Danio rerio: one gene and its partner. The protein of the gene in region 1 purifies or fractionates together with the protein of each later gene. This does not show direct contact. Links are inferred from orthologs where the notes say so. Each region holds a gene or a part of one and is shown on either strand. Other genes may lie near its edges.

The links. Proteins that work in one complex are often made in the same cells at the same time.
Region 2: the proteins of carm1 (region 1) and smarcc1a purify together in Homo sapiens (affinity purification with western blotting; 3 studies listed by BioGRID and IntAct, with this or other methods). This does not show direct contact. The link is inferred for Danio rerio from reciprocal best matches to the Homo sapiens genes CARM1 and SMARCC1.

What each region holds. Positions count from the first base shown.
Region 1 is NC_133178.1:33,009,244-33,012,900, reverse strand, and holds part of carm1 (histone-arginine methyltransferase CARM1), read right to left. Parts: intron 2,361-3,657; coding exon 2,183-2,360; intron 2,105-2,182; coding exon 2,014-2,104; intron 1,778-2,013; coding exon 1,696-1,777; intron 480-1,695; exon of another isoform or gene 282-479; intron 189-281; coding exon 103-188; intron 4-102; coding exon 1-3. UniProt on the Homo sapiens protein: Methylates (mono- and asymmetric dimethylation) the guanidino nitrogens of arginyl residues in several proteins involved in DNA packaging, transcription regulation, pre-mRNA splicing, and mRNA stability.
Region 2 is NC_133191.1:46,877,913-46,881,569, forward strand, and holds part of smarcc1a (SWI/SNF complex subunit SMARCC1), read right to left. Parts: intron 2,853-3,657; coding exon 2,727-2,852; intron 2,446-2,726; coding exon 2,330-2,445; intron 1,411-2,329; coding exon 1,283-1,410; exon of another isoform or gene 1,203-1,282; intron 1-1,202. UniProt on the Homo sapiens protein: Involved in transcriptional activation and repression of select genes by chromatin remodeling (alteration of DNA-nucleosome topology).

The sequences.
Region 1 (3,657 bases):
ATCCTGGAAAGGACAAGAAAACAACAAAAAGTGGAGAGTGTATCTTATACTACACATCTTAAAAAGGCTGCAAGGTAAATCGGATTTTGGGTGTAAACGTACTTGTAAAGATCCTCTTCTTTAGCTTCTAAAAAGTTGACTGTGTATTTGACAGATTTAGCCATCAGGATCCTGATATCAAAAGTGTCCTGAAAGAAATCAGAGGATAAATGAGAGCAGGCAGAATAACCTTCAGCCCTGAATCTGGATCAGGAAGTGGGTCAAATCAAACACAACGACGTTCTGTGAGGCCTCCTGTCAAGGGCTGAGCCACAGCGAAGCAGACTCAGTCCTAGCTCAGAGGGCTCTCCTGCCTCCAGCTGAACTCTGAAAGACGCTACAACAGCGCCATCTAGAGCCAGACCGCGGCAGGTCACTGTCCCAGCAGTATAACACCGTTACAGGCACTGAAAATGCCTGAACAGCTGACTAATGCTGGGCATACAGCACACAAACAGACTGGAAACTACAACTGGGACATATTGAAATAAAAACTGGGGAATATGACAAAAAAAAAAAAAACTATCATGGCAAACAGGATACAAACAGAAACTCTGGTTTATGTAATAATTACATGAAAAACTCCAATGTAAATACAATAATAAACAGAAAACAGTGTAATAGTTCCCTACATTAACAATATAACAAATCATATCTCTCAACCCTGCCACAATGGCATAGCGCCGTAAATACTAGCATGTTAAATCCATGGTAAATCAATCGTTTATGGCATAGTGTTTCTCCTGTTCATCAGTGCCATTTCATATTCCTTTAAACTAAATAATATAAACATTTTCAAATTCAAAGTGCTGCCCTTTAATGTTTGCACGATCAATACGAGACATATCCGCATGTAAAACAAAGCTAAACACTCACACAAGTAATTCTGCTTTAAAGCATATTAAATTAGACCAAACATATTGAACATGCAATTGTTTAATCATGGAACATTTAGTTAATTATCATTACAGTTTCATCACCCAGCCCACCTGTAAACTATTTAAGAAAATCTGCAAAATAAAATTCACACAAAAAGCACAGTCGACAACTTGCAATAATTGGCTTCTCAAGAGGAAACAGCAACTCTTACACCAACGACCCCTGAAGCAAAATTACACGTGGACTTTCTGTACATACAAAGATATGCTTTTATATACTCTTCTAGATGGGCGAAAATTCATTGCATTCCCACCGACCATACAAAAACAGTAAGTTCGGAAACCCTGACCACAAAGTAAAGCCTTTCATCACGCACATAAAGGCGAGCTCACATACTTCACTTCAGTCTCCTATATACAACCACCACTGAATCTATTTTGCTAATCCATGAAGCAAACTGGCTTTCTCCTCTTCCTAGAAACATCCTCCCTTCTCATTTGAGCTTAAGTATGAAACTCAATCCTGTCCGTATTTACCCCCCCCCCCCCAATGCTCACTGCTTATCTATAACTGGTGTGGAGGCAAATCTCCAGTTACCTTCATACTTCACACACTATTTATCAGGGTAATCTTTCCCCTGAAGGCACAAACACAAGCTCGTGTGTTTTATGGCCTCCTGCCTTACCAACTTTCCAAACTGTAGCCAAGTCTAAAAAGCCAGCATGTCCTTTAACTAGCACACACCCAATCTGCTAGTCATTCCCTCCCATTTCTCACCACAATAGGCTGTCTGAAGTATTCATCTACTGCAGCTCCTCTCAGCGCAGACAAATCCACTCCGTGAAAAGACGGCTGGTACCTGAAAAACAAGAAAATTCTGTTTTTCAAGAGGAAACATTAAGTAAATCATCCTGAGTTGTCATCCTCAACAGTCTTAAATCACTGTTTATCTACACTTTTTGTCTATCATTTGAAATCTGCTACCGGTATGATGACACACTTATTTGCACACACTTCTTGTCGTACATGCTGTTCTTTACTCTCTCCCTCTCTCTCTCCCCACCCAGTGTCCATGTCCTCTTTAAGAAAGCTCACCAAAAATTGGCCTTTGTAAACTGCTCCATGTAAAGCTGCTCATCTGTGAACGGAGCGAGGTGAACGTCTCCAATGGTGGGAAACATTTTGCCTGTGAAGAGAGCAGAGGTGTAATATGTACAGATGTTTGTATATGTCAGTGTTTTTGAATAAGACTTTTTTCACTCACCACTGGGCTTGAGGAATTTCTTGGCGTGTAGGTAACTCTCCAGCATCCTTTCATTGAACAGCATGTAGCCCATGGGTTCGGATATGATAATGTCCACCTGCTCAGGTAAAGACACTTCCTCCACTTTCCCAGGAATCACCACAACACGCTCTGACAGCCTGTTACTGTTTACAAGAACCTGTGGATACACAATTATCATTAGTACCACCATATTGGCATAACCACCACTATTGTATCCAAATCAATTTTCCATGCATTCAAATAATTTATATACTAAAAACACGTTTGAAATGATGCAGTATTAAAATCATGAAATTGATAATCTATTTTCTGGATTCGTACTAGGGCTGTGCAATTATCTAATTGCCATTTTTTTTTTACAGATATTGCGATTTGAATTTGATTTGTTATTTATTTTGTAGTCAAGCTTCAGCTTAATAATCTGTATCATAGCTTCTTGCTGCTAAAATGCAGTGAGTGTTAGGCCGTACACAAACTATGCTATCTGAACCATGACCAGGCCCGTTTCTCTGATCGTTTGGGAAGTGTAAGTGCTCTGAATCGGGTTCAGGCTTGGTTCACTTGGCCAGCCCTGGCCCTGCTGGAAGAGGTGTGACAGAGCGCGGTTCACTTGGGCTCAGGCCCGGTACGCCTGTAGTGTGAGTGCAAAACATGACTGAACCCGAAACTGAAGACCAGACGCGAGTTTAAGGGACTGTTTCATATGGATTTATTAATCATTCTTACTGTTCAATGAACGCAAACTGTCATAGATTATTAAAGACGCAAGCCCCTCACTGCACCTTCTGCAAACCTCCTAATTCCTGCAGCACTAGGATTTTATGATCATTTATGAGTGTCAAAAGTGGCTGATCTGTTCAGCAAAATATTTGACTGCGTGTCACTGCATATTAAACAACTAAAATGATATAACGATATAAAGAAATCTCCACTGTGCTGAGCGAGAGCGCTTCTTTAACTGAACAGAGCATTATCCATGACGTACGCATGCTCAGGCCCGAATGTGATGCGAGTGCGGGCCGTCGGGGGAAACGGGAGGGGGAGATGAGTGTGCTTCGGCTCGGTTCAAGGCAACTGTACATAGAGTTTGTATGCCCTTAGTTAAAAAAAAAAAAAGGAACTGAAAAGATAGCAACTTATATTAGCAAACAACTCTAAAATTGTACTTAGCTTGATACTAGATTGTGTATCATTGACCGTAATTTTAGTTGACTTTTTAGCAAGACGCTTCTCATATAGATGCCCGTGGTACTTTTTTTAGGTGCTGGTTGTATTTCCTCGTTCTGTGGCAACAATTCTGCGACAACTCTTACAAATTACCTGGTTTTGTTTGGTGTCAGTGACTTTGAAACCAAGATATTCCCATATTATCGTCATGCGTTTTTTTCTTTGATATTAATTTGTCTATTAATGCTTCTAAAGCTGCAGACACCGTCATCTCACTCGTTTGCGCT
Region 2 (3,657 bases), on another chromosome or scaffold:
GGATCGGTTCCAAAAAATGGTATCAGTGTATCCCTAATCATTCCAGCATCGATGATGCAATGTGCAAACCTGCAATAGTCTTAATTAATTCATTGACTAACTAATTAATACAAATGTGCTTTAATTAGATTTTTATTTCGTATATTTCTGGATAGTTTTGTAAATTTCATGCAGATGCACTTCCCTACAAACTCATCCCAATCAATCAATAAATGATGCATTATTTTCAAATAGTTACTTAAGTCATCTTGTGAAATTTTAATTATTAATCACAAAATAAAATTATTTATTAAAAAAAGTCATTTTCTTCCAATATTGTTTTCTAACTAGCCATACACACATCTTGCTGACATATATAGGTAATATATCATTCATGTAATGGTCAAATCAGGGAATGACAGCTAATAGTCTAGAACGGTGTTTCCCAACCCTGTTCTTAAAGGCACACCAGCAGTCCACATTTTCAAACTTTTCCCAACCAAACACATCTAAATCAATTCATCACATCATTAAAAGAGCCACCAAAACCTGAAATGAATTGTCAGATGAGAGAGACATCTAAATTATGTACTGTTGGTGTGCCTCCAGGAACCTGGTTGGAAAACACTGGATACGTTGAGACGAGTCAGACAGAAACTGTGGATAGCTGTGCCTCCATTTTCAAAAGTCCACATCAGTTTTCCAACACTGAAAGCCAGAACTAAAACGGGGTCTTCTGCATTTTCAAAACACTTTTGTGGGCTGGAGCATAAAACGTGTTTTAAAATGAGAATACACTAGTTTAAATGGCATTTTAGGTAATCCAAGGTAAATAGTGCTTTTGCACTGCATGGTATGGATAACTTTAGGGTTGTGTCTCTTTTTGGTAACACACTAGTTAAGGTTGCAATTGACTATTACCTATTCTAAAACATAATGTGTAAACACTGCAGATCAGTGATTGGTTAGAGAGAAGTCACTAGCTCCTAGACAATAGTAAATAATTATCAAACATTATCAAAACATTGTGACACAAACCTACTAGAATTAAATAAATAGCCATCATTTTAAATGAGAGTTGCATGCAAATGAAAATGCTTAATTCACTGTTATTAACCAAGTAGCAAAGTAGGAATGACGACAAGTCATGGCACAACTACAAGCATGTCTATAACCCCATGCACTTTGTGCTAAACCGCAGTGAAAAAGCAAACCGAGCAAACGGAAAGTGAACCAAAGAGACTGTTCCACAGAGTGTAAAACTGTCTTAAGTGTTGTGAAGTTACAAATCAAGAGCTCTGACCATTTTTTGGCAATGTAACTTCCTCCATTCCCGGCACAGGAGAGGGATCTTCAAGGTCCTTTGTTGAATCTTCATCCTGTTCGTCATCAATTGGTTGTCCACGCCGCCTCCACTGACTTCCAGGATTCCTTTTAGACAAAAATTCACAAATTAGACCACGCTGCAGCCTAAATTGTGAACTAAACTTTTTGTTTATGAAATTGCTTTTATTAAGCAGGGATGCAATAGTTAAATGTTTCAGAAAAGATTTTCATATTGTTACAATATTAAATATGTTGTTCAAAATGAATAAATTACAGTTTTAAGCAGAAATACAATTTTTTTTATATACGTTTATGTATATAGACAATATATTCAAAACAAAATTACTTTTGGAATCAAGACTAGCATAAAAAGTCAGTTTAATGTGACCTCTTTAGCTCTTTTAACTTGTTTGCTGTGTCTTCTAAAATGATGTGCTATTTAATAAAGCATCTCTCAGTGTTTTAAGAGTTCTTCTTTAGATTTAGAATGTCCTATCTGAATCTCACACTGCCTACACATACTGTATATAACATTCGGGTCTAGAGTGCCATTTCATAACTGTCTTTGTTTATCAGCTATCTTTCTCTCCAAATATGATTTAACTTGGGATCGTTATCATGCTGAAAAATAAAACTATAACAAATGATGTGCTTTCTATTTAGGAATTACATGACAACCTGAAATTAAAACCTGTCTGCACTTTTCAGCATTCACAATGCCAATTCAGGCATTATTGACAACAGCTCTGGCAGAAATGCAGATCCAACCAAGACAGAAACTCTACAGAATGCTATTTTTCATTCAGTCTTCCATCTTTCTCTAACTTCTTTCCCCTATTTGTCTATATGGGTGTATTTTAATAAAAAGAATGAGAAGCAATATATAATGCCATCATACCCTCACTAAAATATCTAATTTACCTGGGGGCCTAAGACTTTTGCACAGTACTGTATATTTTCACTCATTTTTAAGTTATAGCAATTTCATATTTGCACATTTAGGTGACTCCAGCATGATCATTACCCTTTCTTGCCCTTCTTGCGCGACTCCACAGGGGTGCTAGGTGGAGATGGAGAGCGTCTCCTCTTCTTGCCAGCAACCAGGGACTTGCGTTCCTTACGATCGGGTGTACGGGAAGACTGATCAGAACCACGGCGGGGTGAAGGATGAGAGAAAGAGCGAGAGAATGAGAGAATGGAACGGTTTTACACACAAGGGGGGAGGGGTGCTGAGGGGATTTTTGGGTGGGTGGGCGGGTGAGGGTGAGGTAGCAAGGAAGAGCTGTAGAGGATGATTGACAGACACACACAGACAATGACAGAACAAACCCTGCCAGGACCTCACACATCTGGCCTGACAACACAACAAAAATCTACTATATCTATTTTTTTTTTAGCACTCATGTATTTGAGTCTCTTACCACATCTTCCCCTGGGAAGATCCGCTGGCGGAAACTCACAGGCTTCTTGTTCTCATCTACTTCATAATCTTCCTCATTCATCCACTCGTTGAAAGCATCGGTGTCAATGACCCATTTAGCATGCACCTGAGGGGATCACAGAATGTACTGAGAAAACGCTGGAAAATTTTATCTGAAGGCTGATTTATACTTTCGCCTGGTGCTGCGTAATAGACTTCTGCTGACTGGGCATGCACCTCATGAAACTTGTCTTTCTTATAGTAATCTTAATAAACTAGCCCACGTACGGTGAACGATAGCCGTGCACAGTAGCACATAGGCGCGCAAAGAGGAAAAATAGACTGCTTGCATCAAAAAGGCGCTCGTATTATCACGCAATGATAAGAAATAAAATAGATCAAGCCACCAAACGCATGAAAACAAAAGTATTGACCGTGGTTTTAAAAATGTAAGGAGTAGAAATCACAGATCTTTGTGTAAACATGTCAGAAATTAAAGTAAAAAGTTGTCAAAAAATAAGTAGAGAATAAAGCACTGATACCAGAAAAATCTACTTAAGTACAGTAACAAAGTATTTGTACTTCGTTCCTTCCCATCTCTCCTCAAATTATATGCTAAAAAGGCAATAATGCTCCAACATTTCTGACCATTATCACCAATAAAACCTAGAAAAACAGGGCATCAGTATATTGTAAACTGATAGGTTCAAATATTCTTCTCCAGCTATCAAATAAATAATTTGTTGCTTCATTTTAGTTTTGTAACTATCAAATAGTTTTAAACTCAAAATTGTAATATATACATCAGAGTAAATACTATGAATGGTGGAAAAAAAAAAAACATCTGTAATTGTGTATTAAAACAACCTGGGTCCCCACTTTTGTCACAGCCCCTTGGCTTCAACGAACTCATCCCACAAGTTTTTCTAAAC